Drosophila melanogaster: one gene and its partners. The protein of the gene in region 2 interacts with the protein of the main gene of each other region in a pairwise test. Each region holds a gene or a part of one and is shown on either strand. Other genes may lie near its edges.

The links. Proteins that work in one complex are often made in the same cells at the same time.
Region 1: the proteins of CG43183 (region 2) and Sdc interact in a two-hybrid assay, tested with the Drosophila melanogaster proteins (one large-scale study listed by BioGRID).
Region 3: the proteins of CG43183 (region 2) and Osi15 interact in a two-hybrid assay, tested with the Drosophila melanogaster proteins (one large-scale study listed by BioGRID).

What each region holds. Positions count from the first base shown.
Region 1 is NT_033778.4:21,476,372-21,485,544, reverse strand, and holds the start of Sdc (syndecan), read left to right. Parts: upstream 1-4,368; 5' UTR 4,369-4,531; intron 4,532-5,166; exon of another isoform or gene 5,167-5,188; 5' UTR 5,189-5,361; coding exon 5,362-5,454; intron 5,455-9,173. Other genes in the region: Sara (smad anchor for receptor activation), read right to left, coding at 1-481, 545-823, 888-2,352, 2,502-3,320. UniProt on the Drosophila melanogaster protein: Cell surface proteoglycan that bears heparan sulfate. Required for axonal and myotube guidance, is a necessary component of slit/robo signaling and is required in the slit target cells.
Region 2 is NT_033778.4:8,588,759-8,596,204, forward strand, and holds CG43183 (uncharacterized protein), read left to right. Parts: upstream 1-3,436; 5' UTR 3,437-3,562; coding exon 3,563-3,686; intron 3,687-3,737; coding exon 3,738-3,826; intron 3,827-3,883; coding exon 3,884-4,016; intron 4,017-4,075; coding exon 4,076-4,146; 3' UTR 4,147-4,211; downstream 4,212-7,446. Other genes in the region: CG14752 (uncharacterized protein), read left to right, coding at 1,812-1,832, 2,265-2,326, 2,807-3,062; CG8736 (uncharacterized protein), read right to left, coding at 5,407-5,883, 6,091-6,105.
Region 3 is NT_033777.3:6,297,488-6,305,958, reverse strand, and holds Osi15 (osiris 15), read right to left. Parts: upstream 4,156-8,471; 5' UTR 4,047-4,155; coding exon 3,728-4,046; intron 3,168-3,727; coding exon 3,015-3,167; intron 2,957-3,014; coding exon 2,784-2,956; 3' UTR 2,306-2,783; downstream 1-2,305. Other genes in the region: Osi16 (osiris 16), read right to left, coding at 1-314, 374-689; CG46396 (uncharacterized protein), read right to left, coding at 1,606-1,917; Osi14 (osiris 14), read right to left, coding at 5,382-5,740, 5,795-6,000, 6,467-6,708.

The sequences.
Region 1 (9,173 bases), about 13 Mb from region 2:
TGAGCTATTTCGCCATACACCGACTCCCTGCCGCGCACCGAGATCAATGGACAGGGATAGTACCGATACTGGGCACCCAAGCGGAGGATCAACCGCAAAGGTAGCACCTTAGCCCAAGGTACCTCGTGTCTATGGATGAGCACGCCAACCAGATACGGATTGTCTGGTACAATAACTCCCTGCAAGCACTGGTACGTTGGCCGAATAAAGATAAATCCTCCATGCTCCCGGGAACCCAGAAAATTGGCATTTCGCGGACTGGTGAAAGCCAACTCATGGGTGCCGGACCGGGCATGCTCCGCCTCCACGTAGATCTCGTACAGGTGCTGGAACAAATCTTTCGGAATTGCGACTTCCCCCTTCACGTATTCTTCTTGCTTGGGTTGCTTAATCTCCAGCAGAATGATCAACTCATCGCTGCCCATATGATGTAGTCCGGATGTCGTAAAGTTCAGCACCCATCGATTCATACAGCAGCTCACTGGGGGTTAAAGAAATGCCATTTAGAAAAATTTAGATTAGTTTAAAGTTCCAAAATACTGACTGTTAACAATCTTGACCAGCACAAAGAAGTTGTTCTTTATAATGAACTTGAGCGTTTCGTTCTGCAATCGATCTAGGAGTGATCCATCGTTGCGCACTACTTTGTAGTCCACCTCACCGCCCTCTTTGCTGCTTATACAAATTGGGGGCAGGCCGTTCTCCTCCGGCGGCAGATAGCAGCCTTGGGCATCTCCGTTTGGCGGTAGTTTGCGATTCCGTGATGATTCCGCTTTGCGACGCGGCGAGGTCTGTGCCTGCGATTGGGATGAGGAGCGACCAGCTGGAGGATACAAACACATTGATTACATAAAAACGATTTCGATAAAAGTGAAGCTTTCCCTTACCGCTTGTCTCGGTAGCCGATAATGTGGCAGCCGCTGCGCTTGGTGGAATGGAACCGCGGAATAGCTGTGCCACTAGGCCCAATGTAGAGCTAGTGTCAATACTGCGAGGTGGCTCCTCTGTCGCAGGCGTTGGTGGCTTTTGACCAGCTCCCGAGCCGCTCCTGGATAGTCCCCTTCGAGAATGCTTGGACTCGCCCCATTGCTGCTCCATGGTACTGGCCAGTTCGCTGCCGGGCGCAATGCCATCACTGAACATAACACTCTTTCGCTTTCTTTGGCCCTTTTGGCCATCCGAACTGGAGGAATTGGAGGAGCTGCCATCGGTTTTTTTCAACACACCCACGGGCACAATCACACTAGGTGGCGGAGCACCCGGTGAGTTGGCCACCTGACGGTGTGGTGGTATTGTAGAACAATATTCCATTGGATTGTTTGGGTTTGGCGAACGAATGGGAGTGGGCGGCAATGCCGAACCCGGTGCTGACTCAGAATTCAATCCATTAGCCTGCCGCTCAGAGAGAATCATATAACACTGCACACAAACCCTAGACTCGGGTTCGGTGGCGAATTCCAATCGGAATCGTTGCGAACAGCAGACAGAGCACAAGACCTTTCCGCAGGCGCGACAGTGGTGACGCCTTTTGATCATGGTGAACTTTTGCTGACATTGCATGCACTGCCCGGCCATGTTATCCGGGACCCATATGGGTGGCACCTTGCCCAGATTGGCATGCGGATCGCTGTAGCCCACTGCTTCGTAGATAGGACTTTCCTCGTCATCCTCGCCGGGTATAACACCTACTCCTGCCGCTCCTTCCCTGACTTCGGTAGGCTGCAAAGTTTCCTGTTGAATTTCGGGATTTTCATCTTGAGATGGCGTGGAACTTTCTGCCTGGCAACCATTCAAATTTAGGGTTTGTGGTCGCTGGGGGCGCTGCTCTTGGGTTTCCAGGGCATCCGTTGCCAGGCTGGCATCTTCATGCTCTCGATCGACCTCCACTTCGCCATCTAGTTTCCTGCCCGAAAGGGAATCCGATTCCGTGCTGCTGAAACTGGAGGCTACATCTTCTCCCATCGCGGTAACTGGTGTGGACTCCGGCTGCTTCAGATCAGCAAACTCCACAGTGGAGGCCTGCGAAAAGTTGTCCACGTTCATCTGATCGTTCGAGGTTGTCTCCTGCTCATCGGATAGAATCCGCACCGACTCCTCCTCGGTCACTGGCGAGGCGGAGCAGGATTTCTCATCGTCGGGCATTTGCTGATCGTCCGCCTGGTTGTCATCTGCATCCATCTCTTGCAGCATGCTGTCCAGTTCGGTGTCCGAGATCTCGTCCATGGTGGAGCAGAAGGTCAACGGTTGACTACGCCTGGGATGCTGCTCCTGTGGCAGCTCCACATCCTCTTCTTCCGTTTGTACTGGCTGCTCCATCTCTTTAGGGACCGGTACTTCCGCAACAGATGCTGGCTGAAAATGTAACACCATTATTAATAAACTATACTATATGTCAAGATAGTTTATAACCTTAATTGATTTATGAAGCTGATAATATTTTTAAACTAATGCGCTACACTTATTAGTCATTTACACAAACAAAGTAAGGTAATAGTACTTACTAAATTGGCCAATGGGACATCTATGCCGTTGGTCATTTCGGTTTCGGGTTCTCTACTGGGCGACGATTCCTCCGAGAGCTCCTCGAGGACCTGCCCGAGAACAGACGATGCGGTGACCTCCTCCGGCAATAGGGATTGCGATTCTGTGCCGGACGCAGTGATGGAGATGGATGACAATCCAACTGCTAACTCCTCTACAGTTTGTTTGGATTGCGTTGGCGGTGGAACAGCCTGATCTTGGTGCTGGTCCTCATGCTTGACCTGTTCCGGCTGTTGATCCTGTTCCTTTGGCTCCACCTGAACTTCACTCGTTTTCTCATCTTCGGGGGGCGTTGCTAGCTCCTCCGAGTGACTGCCATTGCTCACGGGCGACGGACCCGACGAGAAGGTGGAACAGGATGAGGTGGTCAGCGATTCGGAGGACGATACTATCGTCTGGCCGTTATTTTTGGACGCCTGTTCGCTGAACTTGTGGATGTCGTCTTCGTGTTCCGCCTCCGTTTGCCAGTCGTAGCTGGGTAATTGGGCATCCACCTGCAAGGACTTCACATTTTCCCTGTAGTCATCCAGGCTGTTGAAAACCTGAGAGACGCCCACAAAGGACTTTCCAGACGCCGGTGTTGGTGTTACTCCCGCAGCTCCCGATACTCCGGCGCCAGCTCCAACTCCACTGATCGATGCACTTGCTCCGTCGCCCAGAAAACGGCCAGGATTTGCACCTGCAGCTGCTGCTGCCGCTGCATTTCTACTCAGCTGCTCATCGGCGGCAATGCTCAGTTCCAGATTGTCCAAAACCTGATCAATGTCCACCAAGTCCATGGCCACCAAATCCGCAGAAACCTTAAATAAAATTGAACCAACCAGGTTTATCTGCTTGCATTTTCACAAAAACGCAAAAGAGAAAAAACAACACAAAAAGATGTGGAGAAAAAACGGTCTTGTGATTCATACCTTTTTCACACCTCGAATATAGTCATAACAAGGCAATGAGGAAAACAAGGACGTATTCGCCTTTAATAAGCAATATTAAGCACCTGCAATCACCTTATTTACTTTGTTTTCTTCTCGCTAATTTATTAACAAAAACTCGGTGACGAAAAACATTGTAAGAAACTGCCTAAAAATAGCCATGGAAACAGTGTTGCAAAGACAAAAAAAATTAAGTCAAATTAGCACCTTTCTCATTTAGTATTTTATGATGCTATCTCGTTCTATCTTTCTCTATAATCTGTTACTGTTACAATGTTAACATAAACCGTAACACCTTTTCAAATTTGAAAATAATAATAGGTAAAAGCTGTCGGGTCCTACACGAATATGAATGCTTCAATTGTTCAATATTAATGCGTATGAATTCAAACAAATCTATTAACATTGGGTCTGGGAAATTTTAGCCGCCAGTCTGTGTTTTTAAAAAAATGTTGGGTTGTACAACTGAACTAACAGTATCACAGAATAACAGTGAACGTACGAGCAACCGAAACAGTGTAAATCAGTGTAACCGCAGCTTAGCTCAAGAAAAATACTATAAGCATTTAAATATGAAATCTTGCCGATTTAAATGAATTCAAAATGTTAATTATATTTGATTGAATTATTATTTGCCTATCAAACATTTAATAATTCTATAATAATATCTTAAGCAAATCATGTAAACAAACAGTAACATAAGAATAAAACCAAAAAAATTCAAGATGTTAAAGTAACATTTTTAATCGCGAAATTGTAACAGAAATATATAAATTTTAAATGAGTACGCGTTTCGGAGTGTCTATTTAAGTCATCACCCAGCTAAGCATAAGAATTGGTATTTTTTAGGAAATGCACAGCTTGGATAATTGAGTCGTTTCTGCATCTGGTAACATTGGCCAAGTCATTCGAAAAAATTTTACGGAGCGAAGAAGGCACGGTTACGTCCGGATTTTAGCGCGATTTCGTGTCTGTTGTTTGGTCGGCACTCGAGTGTAAAGAAATTTGTACATCCCCGAAAAGAATCGCGAGTGCAATTTTGTAAATACGGAGAGGAAAAGGTGCGCAAAATAGCAAAAATAAATGCAACGAAAATAAACGCAGCAAAACAACGGGCAGAAAGATACGAAAAGAAGAGGCAGGCGAAGCAGAGGAGAAAAGAGACACATAAAGAAGCCGCCATAGCGGCGTTAGTGGGAAAGAGAGGGCGCGAGAGGAGACGGAGAGCGAATACGAATGCGTATGGTGTAGTTGTAGTGGTGGGCGGTCGTGTTTTTTTTCGTTGAAAAATCTCTGGATTCAAAGGGAAAAACAGAAAAACAAAAGGAAAATACAGTGTATTATACGAAAAATTTGTTAAATTTTATGTTTTTAAAATTATAAATTACAAAAATCGAATTCGATTAAAACACCCACACACACACCAATACACACAGTAGTTGCGCTGTTGTCTCCTCTTTATTTTTGTGTTTTTCTCTCTGCGTAAACGTTTTGTTTATTACCCCCGCTCTTCTACTTCCTTTCTTTGATTTTAGCCGCGCGCGCATACGATAAATTGTTGTTAATTTTACAGTGTGTAATGCTTAATTAATACCCTGTCTCTCCAACCAACGCTATCTCTTTTGTTTTGCAATTCGATTGATAACACATCGGGAATAGTGTGTGTCTGGAAAATAAATAATCATAATAATCATAGTTTCATGTGTGTATTTAAACAGCGTTCTTCTAGTGTGAAACCAGTTTAAAAAGCTGCAAGAAATATATATAGCTCAATATATATATTTATATATGTGTGCCGCCGCCAGTTCTAATCTTTAAATCAATAAACAAAACTGGAAGCCATTAGCTGAAATCACAACAACAGCAACCGCAGAAGAAACCAACGGGGAAAATGAAGCCAAAGCAGAAGATTTCCGTAGAGCCGCTATTGCTAGTCGCAATTCTCATCGGAGTTCTGGTAGCCGCCACCCACGCTCAAGATCAGGTAAGATCTCAAAAATTACACCCGAAACTACCAAATGTTATTAGTTTACGTTGAGATAAGCCAAAATCAATGGCCAACTTCAAGTTTACCTGGCCAACCGAAATTTAGCCGACTTTGTGATAATATTAATGTGGCTTTAATGGCCATTGAATGCTTATTCATATTAATACGTCACACAGCTTGATTAATTACGAATGGGTCATTATTAGACATTGCTATCCTTTTGTAACGACATACACATGCCCACCAGTTTGGGCACAAAGTGGAGCATTTAAGTGGCCCCTTTCAAAAGCATAGTTGCGTAAGCCCATTGCTGCTTGTAACTGCTTACCAATTAAATCGAGGCAGATTCAATCAGCAATCCGAACTCCCAATTTTCGCCACCTTGAGAGGGTTCGGAACTCCAAGTTCGGTTCGATTTCTTGTTCACTTCAGTTGTTTTTGCGGTTTGCGGTTGTCCAATGCTGTTTCTGTTGTTCTTGTTGTTCTTGTTGTTGCACTTATCATGCAAAATTCGGCAGCCCCAAGGTGGATACATGTGTCATATACCCATGTACCATGTGGCAGAGGCTTGACGGGCAACGGGCATGGGCATGGTCAATCTCCAAGGCATTGCACTGAATGCAATTTGTGGCTGCAGATAATGAAGAGGAAAGGCCTCCATGTCCCGATGAATGTAAGCCGTAAGCTTCTGGCTCCATTGCTCCACTCCTTGGCTTCTTGTAGAAAAGACATTAAAAACGTCTGCATTGCGAACGCATAAATATGGCAGTGAACTAGACGCACAGACATCGGCACTGTGCAATATATATATATAGATAGTTATACATAGATATAGATATCGATATAGAGGACGAGGCGGCTGCTGGTCAAATAAGGCTGCAAATCCGAAATGGTCATCGACTCCAACGCATCGCATCCAGCCATCCATCGATGTTGTCGACTGTTACCCATTAGCGATGAGAGATGAGTGCCGCCACAGAAACAGATATGCCGCCACGTTCATATGGGGAATGCTACTCGGAGATATAGAGATGATTCAATTTCCGACGAATTCCTTTCTATTCGTCTCTCGTGCTTTCTTTAATCACCTGCTCTGCCCAATGAGATCATTTGGTGTCTGAATGTGCTGTTTTGAAAATTGTTTACAGATTCGAAACTGGCCTCTTTGGTGTTTTCCACTCATCACACAGTATTTTTGTCATTAATTGAGTAGTTTAATTTAGATTTACCGATTGTAAACTCTGCTTTTAAAGGGTGTTAACTTAGCAAAACCGGTTAAATTAATGGGCAAGTTGTGTAAATTGCTTAAAACAATTGCCAAGTTGACATTTATGTATTAGTGAAGGCAAAAGTTGGATTTAAACTGCATAATTTCACTTAAATTCTAAAAACTAATTTGAAGACTTGAGTTGGATTACTTATCAGCTTTTCTTGTTATCTAGCGCAATTACTCACATTAAGATTTATTGGCTGATAATAAAACCAGCTAATGAATCAGGCCGCAAGCCCAAAGGGCAATATTAATGTCTCCTTCTTATCTTCACCAAGTATTTTATGTAATTTAGCACATTTATTACATTCCGTGCTTTCTTGTTAGTTAATTATCCGAAATTAGAAGTTCTATTGAGATACGGTAAAAATTTAACAGCCAGTTTTCTTCATTTTCCGCAAAGAGTTTACAGTTGCATTTTCCACAGCTCATCACTGGAAAGCACTTCTTGATTTGGGCCTGGGTTCTGGGCCAGTTTTTGATACAACTTCTGCTACTGGTCACGATGATCTTTGGCATCGTCTGTTGCCAACAAAAGCATCCGGCTATTGCCAATTTCGATGGCTGTGTTTGCCTCTTTCACTGCCTGTTTGTTTGTTTGTTTGTTCGCTTGCCTGTTGGTTTGTTTGCCTTTATTGGTGTGTGACTTATTGGCCCGAAAAATTTCTACACACACTACTTGCACATAAATAGTGCGATGGCCTTTTACCCCTTCGCAAACGCCCGCCCGCCCCTCTCACCCATCTAAAGCAGTCTGTAATCTTGTTTTTGCCGTTCCTTCCATCTTGTGTCCTGTTTTTGGTGTTTGTCACTTGTTTTTGCCAAAATTGGCATTCGTGGTTATGCCCCCCTCCTCGGCTCCTTCGTAGCTCCTTTCCCTGTCGTCGAAAACATTTTGAGAACGTGCCCGGAAAATTGATGAGCAGCACGGCGAGAGATGGCTATAACTTCACCGGAAAGAGGGTGCAAGTTTAATGGTTGTGACTGCTGCAAGTGCCACACTATCTATTTTCCGTTGCTAGCTGTTGCCTCATTTACAAAGTTGGCATAAATCCATTATCTATGGCCATATCCTAATGTCCCTTAATACGAGCGTAAAAACATTTTAATTTTTTTTTTTTAAACATTTTAATATAACAATTAGGATATAAAGGTAGTAGCATTTTTTTGAATGTAACTGTAATTAAGTGTGGAAGTTAGTAAGGGATAACACTCGGTTGCATCCTCTCACCTCAAAGGTGTGGAAACCCAATGTACCACGCCTCCTTTTGCATTGCTCCCTCCCGTTTTCCGCATCCCTACCAACTGCCTGCTGTTTGTGTTTATTTTCCTTTCTTGGAATACCGATTCACATTGCCAGACGGCGACAGACAGCGATAAGGTTCTGCCGATATTGGGTTTTCCATTCGATCGATTCTGTGGATCTGGCTACCTAAACAACAAACACTTCCTTGAACTGGGTAATCAAATTCCGATTTTTGTCCGCTGTAGATGGTGAAGGAAATTTGAATAAAAGATTTTTTTAAGGTTTTATTTGAGTTGCAGATTTGATCGTTGCTCTGAATCCAAGTTGAATCATTAAAGTTGCTGAAACGCAAAGATTCTTTATTTGCATATTTCTTTAAATTGTTTATCCTTAAATATTTACATTTTTATTTCTTAGATTATATAATCTTTTAAAATCTATATTATTATTTGGCTTTGATTCTTGCTTAGAAGCCCATCCCACAATTTTATTCAAATTACGATTTATTTTCCGTACACATACCAGTTTACTTCTCCTCCACTCATTCATTTCATTCAATCTTTGTTCATTACCTTGCCCATATGTTCATTATCAACCCCTCTCGCTTCCCCTGGTTTCCACCATATGCGGTTTACATTTTTTTCAATTATTATTCACGTGTGTCTTTTTTCATTTGCCTTTGCATCAGCATTCAAGTCTCATGTTGTTGTTGTTATGCACTTGCAATTGCTCGCTGCGTCTCTTTCTATTCCTCCTCCCACCTTTTCGCCTTTTGTCGTGTCTCACCTTTCTGTAAATTATGTTTACACGAAGAGGCAAAAAACGAAGTTTAGATACCCTTAAAGTTGTAATCATTTATCCCAATATGTTGTATGTTGAGTGGAAAATATGTATCGGCTGTGAGTTGTTCAATAACAATCGACTATACCGGTCACTCAGGTAGTAAAGCGCTAGATTTATATGCATACAGAGTTCTTATAATCGTTACATACTATTCAACGAATGTAGTATACCCTTCAATCCACCAGTAACGGGCATATAAACAATGCAATTATCAAATGGCGACTTGGTGACAATGTCAAAAAGTTATCGTATATAACGAATAATGTCATTTTAAATATTTTTTATTAAATGTCACATGAGCTCATAAGCAGCAGATTAATTGCGGTAATCTAAGTTCAATTGAAAATCCCCACAAGT
Region 2 (7,446 bases):
ACATCTGGAGTTGGTCCGAGTTTTTCGAGTGGTCCACATTCACAGAAGTCAAAACTCACCCAACAGGAAGTATTTGCATGTGCAGATCCCGGGATCCCGATCCAAACCAAACCAAACCGAACCGAGCCGATTCGCCAGCGCGTTCGCAGAAAGCGAAAGTAATCATCCACCGCAGCGGCCACCGGGTGGATTATTGTTTGGTTTTGCCCACGGGCACGCATGGTTAGAAGGGGCGCGGGTTGGTCGGGTGGCCGGGGGGGCGTGGCATGGAAGCTATGGCATATTTATCGCTCAGACAAATATCCATTATGCAATTTGGCATGGCTAAAACGAGCAATTTGCCGCAAATGCAATAACATCCCGGCGAACGGGGTGGGGAAAGCCGATGGTGCGGTGTTTTGGTGGTTCGATGGCTCGGTGGGGCAGGATGGCAGTGGTGCGCCCTCAAACGCAGTAAAAGCACACTGGCCTATATATACACATGAAAGCCGAGTGAGTGAAAGAAAAAAACAGCGAGTGATACTAATGGTTTAACCCGTTTGGAGCCACTTTTTATTAGGTTGAACTATAATACTCTGTTTATCTTGTTGCCAGACTAAAGATATAAAATCTTGTGGAGACTTAGTAGTGCATATATCACTTACCCCATTTTGATTATAGATTATATTTCTGAACGGAAGCTCCTTGTTCAGCCTTAAATGGGTTAAGCACGCCGCAAATTGAAGCTCTTGACAGTTGAGTTAACAGCACAGCACGGCAGCAACATGCAACATGCAACAACCAGTTGCAACAGCAGCTGACGTGGCCAGCGTTATGTCAGGGGCATTGTGGCATTGTAGAATGGGCAAAAACAATACAAATCCACACAAACACAATCAAAATGGAATTTCTTCAAAATCGTGTGATGCATTGCTTGATTAGCGCCACATCTACTGCTACTGTTAAGTAATTGCCCGAAATGCGTTTTATTGCAAATTTACGGCGTACGTGTTTCGTGCTCCATGCGTCGTGATGTGAGTTTCGCTGGGGATACATCCAAGACTGGACTCCTGTAGCTCCAACGCTGACCCACATCAATTGACACCAGCGACGACAGTTACCACTATTACCACAGAAGACATTCAAGGTCGATTGGTGGAGATGTCTTCCAAGCGATATGGAAGGGCCAAGAAATTTGGATTAGCGTGACAACTTTGTTTTGTCTCCGGCCGCACACGTTCACTTTTTGCGGCGGTCTACAGAAGGCCGCTAAGTGATCCAGTCAGCGGCGGTATATGTGCTACTTGGTCATGCATTCGGAATGATTTTAGCTCCACTCCGCGCTCTGTCTTGCGATTATGATTATGAAATGAACGTAATTTGCCCCGTATTACACAAAGCCCCGCCAAGTCAAAGTTCGATCGTCTGCCATTGTGGACAACTGAAGCATGGACCACCGCTCCCAGTCCCTCTTTACCACCGACCAGAGGGTCTTAACCCCTCGTAAACAGATGCCAACGACGGTTAATACAAATCACATATCACTACACCATGTTGGCCATGTTAACAGTCGCGCGTCCACTGTTATGCTTATTTTCGCTTGGCCGTTGAAGTTGCTGCTGCTGTTGTTGCTGCTGCTGCTGCTGCTGTTGTTGCTGCACCGACGTCACGTCTTTCTCGTGCAGCGCAGTCGGCTTGCAGCAACAACACAAAGCGCTGCTGGCGCCCGGTATAAAACGGATGAGTCGCAGCCTGTGGTTATCAGTCACCACCTGACAGTGCTCCGGTTTTAGTATCGCCTTTCGAGTGCAGCAGAGCTCAGCCCAGCCACCATGTCCGTCCTGAAAGTATTCGTAAGTGCGACAAGGATAACGTTCGAAAAAGTGTTAAGCCAAACCTCCGCGGAATGGAGCTGAAAAGGATTAAACTCATGTGGACTATCGTGAATAAAACTAACCAACTGAAACATAACAAACTCACTGAAAACTGACTTCGATAACCGAAGTATTGGAAATATACCACCAAGATCGCCTGATGGCTTAAAAAGTCTCGAATAGATATTTCAAGAAACTGCGAAAGCATTTATTTTGCAGAAATATAAATTCACCCAAAAATATTAGTTTATGTTTATCAATCGCGGACTAACATTTCATTAGATTACTTAGATTTCACCAGAATTGAACATAAATTTTGAAGTGCCAAATTAAAACTAATCACACTGATTAGTTAGCTATTTGCGTTAATCTAGCCGGACCTAACTTACTAACTTCCTTATCCCCTTTCAGATCTTCGTCGCCCTCTTCGCCGTGGCCTACTGCGCACCCAGTCCCGGCTTCTTTGGCAAACAGTGAGTATCGGCGGCGATCTGCACCTGAACTGATCCATAAATAACCCGAGCGAATCGATAAAAATACCCATTTCCCGCTTTATGCTAAGCTAACGAGCGGTCGCATGGCTTTTTAAACGCTGCGACTGCTCCGTGGGTCTATGAAATATGTGTCCGATTGCGATCGAATTGAGCAATCAAAACGCTTGTAGCACTTAGAGCCCCAGCCCCCTCCAGCAGTCTCTATATGGTGCCCACCACTGGCTACCATTGAACTTAGCCGATCTCGACTTGGCTTGGCTCGCGGCTTAGGAATTTCGCAGGCGGCGGTTGGCATTTAATTCAGCGTAATGCGCGCATAATTGTGCGAATCAATTGCCAATTGCCAATAGCCAATATGCAATAGCCATGTCTGCCAAGACGCTGGGTTCAAGCAACTGATTAGCTAACAGGCGATGGTACATGGCATTCGATCTAACCGATTTCACTTTCGATCCGCAGCGAGCACCACACCATCCACGTGCCCTACAAGGTGCACACGGTGCACCACCATCACGTTCAGAAGGTCCATGTGCCGGTGGTGAAGCACGTGCCGGTGCCCATTTACAAGGAGGTGCCCGTGCACCACGTCCACCACGAGGAGATCCCCGTGCCGGTGCACCACGTCCATCACGAGGAGATCCCGGTGCACCATGTCTTCGATGACCACCACGACCACCACGGCTGGAGCTCCCACCACGGACACGGCTGGCTGTAAGCCATCTGCCCGCTGGCCTGCTTGTCTTCAAACCCACCCACTCAGCCAGTCCCATCTGAAGCAGCCTGTAAATACTGTACAATGCTAAGTTAATGAATGTAAATAAATCACAATTCGACTGTACACAGAACAATCCTGGCGTATTTATGGCAGGATTCCCTGAAGTGGAACCTTAGTGTTTGATGGCTCACAAGTAATCTAATAAACCAAATACTTTTAATGGGAATGAAATAACGATTTTGTTATTTGAGGCTTTTTAAGTTGTTGCGATTAGGATAGATGGTTACTTTTGAAGACTCGAAACTTGCTTATCTCTATATTTATATACTATATAAGATGGTAGAATATAACCTACTTGTTAAGTAATATTTTTCAAAAGATTTTTGTTATCAGTGACAGAACTTGTACACATAAAATAAAAACCCCATATACTCAGATACTCAAATACTAATACCCTGATAGCAAATAGCCACAAATAGACACACTACCACATTTGCACCATGATATATCTACAGAGTTGCTGCTGCTGCGTGGATCTGCGAATCGGAACCATAGCAATAGGGATTTTGCACATTATAGCGGATATCCTTGGAGGCACATTTGTTGCTTTATTTGGGGAGTCGGGTAAGTGAAGCAGGATACTTGAGAGCAAGGATATGATCCTAACACCCATAGGTATTCCCGATTTGGGTCACACCCTATTCATTATCTTCGTTATGCTGCACATCCTGAGCTGCGTTTTCCTGATCATCGGCAGTATACGGGTGAGATACCAGTACAATTGATTAGTTTCAAATTATAATACTTATGATTTGATCTAGTTACGGAGCAGCTGGATGCTCTTCTACATAATAATGACTATGATCATGGCGGTAGCAATGCTCATATTGATAGTATCCGACGTCATACTCGCCGTTTGTTTCTGGGTAATGATCACGTATGCTATAATGTTCTGTAAGTAGCTAAGTGTATCTAAGATTTCACAATCCCTTAATTTTTCCCCATTGCTTCAGTTATTTGCCTTTATTCCTGGCTAGTGGCGTACTCTTTTTACGCCGCCTTAGGAGGACCTCTCTTCATCTGAATGTGATCCATTGCCAAGTAATAAATTGTACTGTGATTGTAGCAATAAAGTACTTGAATTTTTACAAATCGATCTGCATTTTAAGTGGAATAATCATCGTAGAGTACCGAAATAACTATATCTCATCTCATTTGGTTCAATCGTTTTGGATTCCAAGAATTCGAATATTCCTTTTCATGCAATAAGTTTCCCATAATCACTTCCCATTACATTTGTTTGTAAAATTACTTTCGTGAGTTGCACTTTTTTCACACACTGCCAAAAAAGAGCAAAAAAAATGGGGCAATGCTATATTGATTATAAATAAAGCAATGATTGCACGCATATTTCAGGTGAATTGGTCGGGAATGTGATAGGTTCGATTGGATCATTGCTCCATTAGTTAATCCCACTGCAAGACTGTAATTTGCAGTTGCACTTGACCTTGGGCCGGTCTCCCAAAGGCGGCAATTAAGCCGAAGTTTTGCAAGAACGACTTTCACAAAGCACTCACTTGACCAGCTCCGACTGAGGTCGACCGCCAGTCCGCGTCCGCTCCGCTCCGATCTCTCCCTTCCTACGATCTCCACGAACCCGATCCGATCCGATCCGGTCCGGTCCGTCCACTCCGCTCCTTGCCCAAGTACTTACTGTGCTGCAAGTCAGGGGCGTGGCAGGGCACATTCTCGGGGCATGAGCTCTCTTGGTTCCTAGTTCAGCACGCTTTTCAGCTAGAACTGGTCCTAGGGCAGTGGAAATGTTTAATTAAGTATATACCTTTTACACTTTCGGAACTCTTATCAATTTAACTTGAGAATTTGGGATATTTCCGTCATATAATTCAAGCTTAAAGTAGCAGGATCATTCCTTTCTGTAAATCAAGTTTCATGGAGCAGGATCTTAACAGTCTTCTTTCATACCTCATTTAGCGCACTTGACTGAATGAGTTTCTGATTGTAGACAGTTCAAATTACTTTATTTAATTATAAATGCTTACTTTGGTCAATTAATCTTTTCTTCATTAGTAAGAGTTCTATGAACCAACCAACAATTACATTTTGTAATATAGTAAGAAGTTGTAGTTGCGAATAGAACGATTTGTATACCCCCATGTATCTGCAGCTATCAACCATAGAAAGTCCCATTTCTTTGACCAACATTTTGCATTTATTTCGGCGCCAACAACAAAGAATTTCAGATTAATGTCCACTAATTGAGAACTGGGGAAAGGCGAAGCGTTAAAGGAAGCTGCGGCTGGCCGCAAGTGAGCCCTAGGCCGCCCTAGTTGCAGTACGGGAAGTTGGGGCACTGGTGCGGCGAAACTCCGGCGGGATACAGACGCTCCGTCCAGCCAGGTAGAGGAGGAGCTGCCACGGGAGCACCAGCGTGTCCGGCGTTCACGTCGCAGTAGGGATAGTTGGGGCAGGTCTGCGGATTGACGCCAGCTGGATACTTATCGCCACCGGGTGCGGCAGCAGGGGCTGCGTTCCACGAGGGCTGTGCCTGCCACTGTGGCTGCGGCTGGGGGTTCCACTGGGGTTGAGGTTGCTGCCACTGTGGCTGCGGGTTCCACTGTGGCTGCGGCTGGGGGTTCCACTGTGGCTGCGGGGCACCCCACTGCGGCTGCGGATTGTGCAGGCGCGCATTATCACAGATGGGGAAGTTGGGGCAGTCCTGCGGATTCACGCCAGCCGGATACTGGGCAGCAGGTTGGTGTTGTGGCTTGGCCACCGCCAGGGCCACGAAGGTAGCGAAAAGCTTTGAAAAGATTTTAAAAAAATATGGAATTTTTAAATGTAATAAGATACATCTGTAGTTTGAAAAATATCTGGAACTTAGGATCCTCGGATCTTAAGAACTTCAACTAAAATGTTGCAGATTTGGATTCCAGCTCCACTTAGTAGTTAAAGGAACTTTTTCAGACGCTATCCTTGTGGGCAGAAACTTGGCTCAAAGGGCACTTACCAGCTTGCAGAACATGTTGGCTGAGGTGAGTGGGTGGTTGGTAGTTGTGGAGTTGGTTCTGGTGTGGGGCTTATGGTAATCCTTGCCGAATTGGACTATGGAGTCGTAGCTCAAACTTCCAATTGGGTTCCTGGTCGGCGCTGCACTGCTGCTGCCGAGCCCGGCCATCAAGCTTATATAGCGGTGCTGGCTAGAACCGACTCTTGGCCGGGTCTCAATCTCAGCCAGAGTCTCTCGGCCAGACTCGGTTTCACTTTCATTACTGCGGCTGCTGTGCTTGTTGCTTTTGCTATTGCTGCTGCTGCAGTGGCTTTGCTTTACTTTTGCTTTTGTTTCTGTAGTTGACTGATCTCGCGCATATTTTACTTGATTGGCCCAACAGATTATTATGAGTCTTTGTTGTGGAGCGCGGACAAATAAATCGAACGGGGCCGACGGACAGATAGATATGTACAGACATACTCGTGCATACATACGGGTAATATGCTTAAACACCCAACTATGCAAACACATACGAGTGCGCACTCCCCTATCGAGTTACCGACAACATGCCGTCATTAGCAATGAACTAAGCCCCCAACTTGCATTTCGGCCAAAAAGAAATCTCCAGCCTGGGCTCGTACGGGTACATTTGACAAAGTCGCGTTGGCGTTTGGCCAATTTTCGATCCGCATTTGCCAGCGGATCAGTTCGTGAATCACTACGCTCCGCTCCGATTCGCATTTGGACTTGGATTCGGATCGTGTAAGAGGCACAGGTCGCCACCACCATCGCCATCGGCCTGCCATTGGTTCCACCATCGCCTTGGCATGCCACTGCCACATGTCGCCCGGTCTTGGTCTGCCCGGAAGGCAGCGGTGGTCCGCGTCATTGCAAACGGGTTTCGGTGCAGCGAACTTGCACTAGATCTCAATGCACAGCATTCGAGAGGCGGGGTCGCACCGAAGTTCACTTATAGGTTCTAGGGCTGCAGGATAGTTATCTAAATTCTTTGGTTTCAAAACCATTAAATCACCTCATGCCTTTGCTGGATCTTTCCCAACAGTTTTACATATCATCTGAAAGATAGCTATTCTTGGGCTTACAATCATGAGTCTGATAAATCTTTCGCACATTCATAATTCATATATCTATGGTACATTACATTTTCAATCAAATTCAGAATATCATGTATGTAGTCTGTACAATTGATACATATTTGTAGGCTTGAAGTAGTCTATGCTGGCTTTGTACTAATTTAATAAAGCAAATCAATTTCATATTCAAAGAATCATAACAATAATAATAGCTAAGATAATCAGGAATATTTGATTTGATATTTCCACACATTGCAGCCCTAGTTTCAGATTTATCCGC
Region 3 (8,471 bases), on a different chromosome or scaffold from region 2:
ACCGGCCAAGCTCTTTAGACCGAGGACTCCAGACAGGGTCAAGGCCATTAAAGCTGTCATCAGAGCCTTTCCGGCCATCAGAGCGATGGCCCCGAGGCCCATGGCCATAAGCATTCCCTTCATCATGACTCCAGCCGCCACTAGGGCCTCCAAGCCTCCTTTCTTGCCGAACTTGTGCTTGCGACCTTCTACGAGGGACTTGTCATCCAGCAGGCGAAATCGTAGGAACCGCGTTCTCAGAAGGTTTTCCAGTTTGGCTACTATATAGCCATTCAAGCGAGTGCTCGGGTCACTGGGATAGCTGCGAGCAACTTCTGTATATTGTCGAAAGTTAAAATTTTTTGTCTTTATTTTTGTGTTTTCAAGAACATACCTGCCATGAGCTCCGATGTCTTGAGTTCGGTGGCGTTCTCATCCTTGACCACGCTGATTCCTGGCAAAACGTTTAGTTCCTCCTGTTCGGCAAGCTTTTCCATGATCTTGACAAACTCGATCTTGAGGCACATCCAACTGAAGGAAGATGCTTCACAGCCACTGAGAAGGCTCTCTGCCCTTTGGGGTATTCTAATGGTTTCCGGAGCAACTGCAGGCACTTCGGTGGGCTGGACACTGGCAGCCGTGGCATATTTGCACATGAAGGCGAATAAGGCCAAGTAAAAAAGATATTTCACGGTCTTGGTCAGCAACATCTTCGCTATCTACTGCAATGGAGACTGTTTGTGAGTCTGCATCATCTCGATTTGAAGGCCTTCGCTTTTATACCCGCTGCCACGGTTTCCATTCGCATTTCCCTTTCACCAAACCGTACTCCGTCCGTATTGGGGCCCTTGTGCTTTTCTAATTACTCAAACGATTTGTGGTCGAAATTCTTCCCAGCGTCAGTCAGCTGCGTCCAACTGGGCGGCACTTTCGCTTTCCTCTGCGCCAGCGGAGGTCGGTCTTGCGAAACGGCCGGCTAATTCTGTCACCAAAAGTTCCAGCCAATGAATTCCCCAAGAGTCCGAGAAGAAAACTCTCCCAGACTCGGGAGTTCAGGTAATTACAAGTGCCTGATAAACGTCGCGTGCCTCGGACCTTCATAAATTAAGACCCAACATTTTGCCTGCCTAACTGGGACTAACTAACAACTCATTGTTAATTATTACTTCATTTTCATTTGTGTCTGACCCAGCGTCGTTTCGCTACTTTCTTTCCTCGTATTGGCCATGAAGAAATTTATCTTTCCACGCCGAGAACGACCTGTTTAATATTCAGATTACATGCAGTGCTAATGACCAATTGGTTGGTCGACTTTTGATTTTCGCTTTTTGCCTAGCAGGTGTCTTATTTCCCAATCTGAGCTTATAGTGGGTGCTTGGAACGATTATGCAATCTACTAGACTACTACAGTGCTCACTTAAAAACAGTGTTTTTAATTTTATTAAAACATTTTTGTTGACAAAAATATTGTTTTCAACATACTCTTATATGCTTTTATACGTTGTATTTTTATTGTAAAGATAAGACAAGTTATTTCGGGCATAATAAAATGAATTTAAATAAATATTTATGTGAAGTATGTGACAATCTTTTGTGTGTTGATCCTTTTAATTTTTCTTATGAAGCTTATCCTGATGTACTCTGTGTCGTTGTGGTTGTAGTTGTGGTCCACTTGTTCCTGAATTTTTCTCCAAATCTTTCGAACAATTTGGTTCCATTGTTATTGAAAGGCGGGAATCGGAGCTGTCCAACATTTTCCACTTCCTCAACCACAGGGGCAGCTTCGATTGGCTGCTCGGTGTTCACAGCATCATCTTCAGTTATGAGGGGTTTTCCATCATCCTCGACAGGAAGTGCCCAGGCCAAGGATACCAAAAGGCCAACAATCAAGGCGAATTTAATCTGACAGCCAATGAGTTTGTTGCTTAAGCCGTTCATATTGATTCTGTTGACTTTTGGTCAGCATGAGTGGTGTTTTTATACCAACGCCAAGTGGGACATTTGATTAAACATCAATTAGGAAGTTGACGCAAAGAAAGCCACGGGCCCAAACTCAACTTTGCTAATATAATTAAGTGGAAATGTGTCTTCAATGGATTTGTTTTTGCAAGAGGTTCAAGGAAAGTGTTTAAGTAAAAGCCACTAATTTCACTTTCCAGCTTGATGCTCACACTCTTCCTAGTGATTTTTCAGAAAATACCTTTGAGACTCAATAAGGAAGCTTTGAGCCGGAAATTATACAAGTCATTGCCTTTTTAAAAGTATAATACCTGTACATTTCCAAAGTTTCCGACTCGGGCAAAAAGTTTAAAGATTCTATGGTTTTGCATTTGATGAATCATTTTTATTCAATTGCTTTAAGTTGTACGAATAAATACTTAGTAAGTAAGCTCTTTAGCAGGCATAATCTTCGTTGCTTTCGATGAACCTGAGTGACATGTACGACCGCCAAGAGACATGTGGATGGGGAAATGTGCAATAATTATGGCGCAATCATTGATTGGCCGTAGTATCCTTAAGCATTGTCCTTTGGGCTAGCCAAGAGTCGAGGGACCGTTTCAATAGTTCTCTTTTTTTGTGATTTTTTTTGGTATGTCGCAGCTAACTAACTAAATGTAACTAAATAATTATTGACTACGAATTAGGCCATTCTTCAGGAAAGTCTTAGAGGGATAGGTTGTGGAAATGGTGATGAAGTGGGGGGAAGTTGAAGAAGGGAGACGCTTTGGTAGGATAAGATATAGCAGGTGAAAGATAGAGGCTAGTACAGAGTGGGATGGATGGATCGGTGGGTGTTTTCCGGCTTAGAAGGGCTGGGCCAGACCATAGTGGTTGTAGGCCAGATCGGCGGCACCTGCCTGACCATTGCGGCTCCAGTCGGAGTGCACGATGTCGGCGTTCAGCGGGCTGCCGGTGATGTAGGCAGTGGTGATGTGTTCCTTCTTCTTGGCCAACAGATCCTTGAAGAAGGTGGCACCTGTGCGGGAAACGTGGGTAAAAAGTGCTATTCCTGAGATCATTAAAAGTAAACTCACCAGCCAGGATGAGGGCCAGGAAGGAGATGGCCAGAGCCTTCAGCGAGATGAACTTGATGATGGTGAACATAATCTTGACAACGACGGCCTTCTTCAGCTTCAGGGCCAAAAGAAGGGGCAGCAGCATCTTCTTCATGCGCTTGCTGCGGGACTCTGTTTATTCCGGGAGGGAGAAAGTAAAGAGAAATCGGGGTTTTAGCCATGCTCCTAAAAGTATTCAAGGCCTGGCAGTCGAGGTAAAGCTTTCACTTCGCTTCCCGTCAGCACAACTGAGTATGCTAGTAGTTTTGCTTTTGGCAGTTGGCTTTCTGCACAGCAGAGTGGACCTTAGTACGTTTAGCCTTAGTAAGTAGACTTTGAAGTGTTCGTTTACCGTACAGAACAGGAACGACTTGAGAGCCAGGACGGTTTACCAAAGCTATTCTCGTATGCGCACGAATGCCTCTGTTTTTGTAGTAATTAATAAAAATGTAACTTATAACTCGTTTAAAATTATTTCAAAATTCTTTGGCTATCAACTCACGTATTTACTACCATTCTATCGATTTATGTCTCTCAAAAACATACAAATTTTTAAATTCTGACCTAATATTAAGTATCTAAGATATTCAACGCAATATGAAAACTTTAAAAGCAAGTAGCTTAAATAGCTTTTTTTTCTTTGGATTAAACTATATTCTGTTTTTCAAATAAAGGAAACCAAGATCACTCACCATCCATGGCGCGTCCGGTGTACTCGTTCTCGGAGTTCTCGTCCTGCTCATCGCCGGAGAAGGAGAGGTTTAGCTCGTGGGTCTCCAGGTAGCGCTCGGCGCGGTCCTCGAAGGACTCGACGGCCTTGGATGCACCGAAGCTACGGCCCGACTCCGACCGGTCGATCCTCAGACCGCCGAACAGCGCGACGGACTCCTCGCTGTCTAAGCGGTTCAGCATGTTGACCAGGTCCCGCTCGGTGTTGTCCTGGGAGGGAAGGGCCATGGAACCGCACACAAGGCTGGCCAGCAGCACTACACATACGAATTTCGCGCACATTTTTATTAGCACTTGGGGGTGTCTTGACTTTGGGTAGGTTATAATCCGTGGGACGGCTGCCTGGAGCTGGTGAGTGCTGCCGATGTGAACGGGAATCGCTTTGTGATTAATTGAATGCACTGCCCCCGCGTTTTATACCATTTCGATTTGACGTCGATTGACCAATTTTGTGGCTAGAAATCGCGTGGCAGGCCAAAAATCCAAAACGCACCGCTCGCCGCTGCAATAACAATAACAATACCGAACGGCAATACCAAAAATCCAAAAGCAATTTATGCAAAGCATATGCGTATGCTACCTGGCCGGCAGTTTCTTGACCATATTTCCACGCACGTCGCGATGTCAACGAAAGGGAAGTGGCCAGTGGTCGGCCGGCTGAATATTATTTTTTTGTATATACCATACATATATTTTATATAAGCAAGTGGCCCGATTTCGGGTGCTCGACCGTTATCCGTATCCTAATTGGCATTCAATGGAGTCGCCGGTGCTACGTGTTGGGATTGCCTGCGCCAGATTCTTGGCCGGTTGTTCCTCTCCATTAGCTCCATCAGGGCTCACGATGGAGCGGAGAATATAGTGGTGGATCTGCGAGACCCACACGTATTTGGTATGCCCCGCCGGTGGTGACTTAATGCACAATTTGGCCCAGTTAGTTACTCTGGCGCTTTCAACGCTTTCGATTTCATTCTCCCTTTGTCAACTGTCGTTCGTGGCTTGTTTTCTATTTCAATTGCTTCTAAATCTGCCTGTGAAAGAAAGCTGAATTGTAGCACATCGCCGCATATATCTCTTTTCAATCGCAAAGTGACACTTTTATGAGCATAAGTAGAAAGTTTCTGGCAAACAATTAACATGCCGAACGGCCGTCACATGGCCACTAGAAACTCCAATTATGAGCAGGCCACCAACTTGCCAAAAACTAAATCCCCAGCTTATCAGCTCTTTTTCTCAACATTTTCTGTGTTCTTTTGGGTTTTTTTTTGTGTTCAGAAACAGAACCTGCCACAAGTTTTAATTGCCAGCCGCAAACTTGTTGCCGCCCAGCGAGCAAAGTTCCACATATTTGTTTTGGGGTCTGTCAGCATTTCAATTAAGCCCTGGGAAACTGGGAAAGTCTCTGGGCACAGGTGAGCACTGTCCACGTGCGTGGATTTGCGGATTATATTTTTTTCGGGTGCAATACTCTTGGTTTTATTCATACATTCGACTTGACTTGCGGGTGATGTGTGCGTGGTGTGTCAATAAATTAGTTAATTACATTTCGAATAAATTACTACAGGCTAAAGGTTTCAAAACGAAGGCACATCTGTTTGAGCTGTCTCCCAGCCGCTTCTACTGCTGCTGCTGGCCGGCGTAGGCCAATTGCTGGGCATCGGACCCATCCTCGCTGATGCTGCGGGCATAGGGATAGGACGAGGAGGCTCCCGAGCTCCAGCCGGCGCTGGCGGGTGCGGACCATGCGTTCGAGTTGTAGGCTCCGGCAAAGGAGTTACCTCCGAACTTGTTGCCGAATCCGCCCAGCAGGCGGGATCCGCCGACCAGAATGGCCAGGAAGAAGGCCAGCTTGGCCACGATCACGGCCTTGAAGGTCAGCAGGGCCAGAAACCCGAGCACCAGGGGAATGACGGCGAACAGCTTGGCGCCAATGGCCAGAGCCACGGGTCCCAGCATCTTCTTGATCTTGCCACGGCCTGTGATTGGATGTTAGGTAACCATGTTTTATCGTATCCCAAGTCAAAACCCACCTTCATCGAGGGCACGAGCCACCTGCTGGGTGGTCTCGGCGGGCAGCTTGAACTCCAGGTTGTGGGTGCTTAGGAAGTCGGCGGCACTAGAGACGGCCAGATCCACTAGACGACCAGTACGCTCATCGGCATTCTGGGGCAGCTCGGCATAGACATCCTGCTCGCTCATCGATTTTCCCGTGCGGGAAACGGGACTGGCGGGATCCCTAAAATGATATTGTAAGTTATAAATACATTTTCACATTTACTTAACTTTTATGACAACTTATATGCCGAATGCCTCTAATGTCTTATTATACCACTTTTAAATTTACTGTCATAATTTTTGGAATTATGTAAGAATTCCAATAATAATTAACATTAATTATGAAGTGTTTTTAGCCTTAGCCTTGGCTCACCATTTAAATCTATAAAGACCATAAAAAATGGGTATCAGAATATAACTATCTAATAACTAATTTCTCTAAACTTATTTTTAATTGCCTACATATCTTGATATCATAATTTCATTTTAAGTATCTTTCCTAGTCAACTTTTGTGATGCAATCACTACTTTAACTAACACGGATTGAAGATTTCATCTCGGGCACGTTCTTCTTTTGGTTACAGTTTCGCTTTCGATTTGGTTTTTGTTTCAAGAACCAGGCACTTTCACTGTTAAAAAACACACACCTCTGGAAGGTGACTCCACTGGCCAGCTCGATGTTGTTGCTCCTGGCGGCGCGGTTGAGTGCGGTGATGCCCTTGACGGCCAGGCAGGTGGCCATGTCGTCGCTCTCCAGACAGGCGCCCAGATACCGGGCGGCCCGGCCCAGGGTATTGTCGCCCTCGACCTGGTTGTCTTGAACACTGGGCGCGGCAAAGACGCAGCTGGCCGCCAAGAGGGTCACACAAGCGATGGCAAACACTTTCATTTTCGATCGATTGGTATTTAGACGCGGTTAATCCTTGCTAATATAGCTGATCCGGGGTTTCAATTCTGGGCTTCGGGCTGCTGCTTTTCTGAGGGAGCGCTGAGATGAGTTTGATGTATGCGTCTCCGGACATCTAGCCTTATATATTGGGCCTCTCGGTCGGCGTCGCAGTCGGTGCGCATTACAAAACAATTCAAAAGTAAATTAAATAAAGCCCGGCGAGAGACGGCGGAAGTTATGGCCAAGACGCGAAAAGAGCGAACTCCGAATTGGAGACAGGGCCCAAAAAAAGAGTCACAGACGCAGCCGCATAAATCTAGAGAACGGCGGGGAAACAAAGTCAACTTGTTTGTTAAGTGAACATGTTCATTTCGGTCTGCCTTTTTTTCGGCAGCGCCGCTCCGGCGACGTCGTCATCCGTCAACGTTGGCGTCGCGGAGAGAGAAACTCGTACTTGGACTTGGTCTTGGTCTTGGCCATTGGCCAAAAAGGGGCGCCCTGGAGTAAACAGTCGGCCCATTGGCTTAGGTCTGCACAGCGACAAAAATCAGCTGGCTTACATAACCGGGGTGGTCCACGGTATCACTTATAACTGCATTCCTTGGGCTGTCTTGAATCCTAAAAAGTCTCAGATTATTGAAACCAAAAAGTGGTGCTTTGGGTCCCCACGGACACGCCTTCAATGAAGCTGGGGCCCTGGTGTTTACCGGTGGTCTGAGCCCTCGGCTTCACGTTTGCGCCCAGCTTTCATCAGACTCTCGCAATGGCCAAGTCACATATTTGCTAATTTACTGACGCTTCTTAACCGATCCGGTTGCCGTATATTTCACGCAGCCCATTTATGAACGCAAAAATGTGTTTTTCTCTTTCTCCGGCATTAAATGGGTCAGTCTTATTTGCCGTAGTTGTTTTTTTATTGTTGGGATATGGTGAAATAGTGTTTAGCACTTCGATGATTGAACTGGACTGTGTGGCTAATGTGTCTATGTTGTAATAATTGAAAGTTAAAAGGGCTGTGTGGATGGAGAAGGAGGTCATTGAGAATTTATATAACAAGCTGAAAGGAATTTGCACTAACAGAATGATAAATAACCTTAGTGCAGGTGCTTAACACAGCATTTCCTTTATCTTGTATGTTATCGATTCGTAAAGGAGCTAATTTTTAAAGCACATACACACATATTCTGAGAATGAACAACAACCAAGGTAGGAATGTGAAATTAGTATATTTACATAAAACAAGATATTAAAAAAGGTAAGGAAAAAATTGCACTTCTTAGAATTCAATTCGATTTTTCCAGTTGACAAGGATAATTTCATTTGCATGCCTTCAGGCATATCAGTATTAATTCACTATCTATATCTCAAAAACAATTTCCAATGAAAACCTAAAGGAAGTGTGAGAATGGACAGGCAGAATTTGAACAGTTGCCTTCTTTGGAATTCTGCAAGCAACACGCAAATGTATTATATCTAAGACTAAATCTGCACTCAATTCCCCAAACGATATAGTTTCTCTAGCGACCTGAGACATTTATACAAAGCAAAGCCCATCAAATGGCAGTGTGAATTTTATGATTCATCCATTCAGACATCAAGCCATCCAGCCATCGATGATTTTCCCAGTCACGTTCTGCTATCGCGGCCTGCATTGTGTCCATTAATGTTGCTAGCCGAGTTTCTCTGCCGGCATTGCATCGTAAAATCTTGCGTTTCCAAAAGATCTCTATAAAATCGAAACAACTTCAATTTTTGGCAGCAAC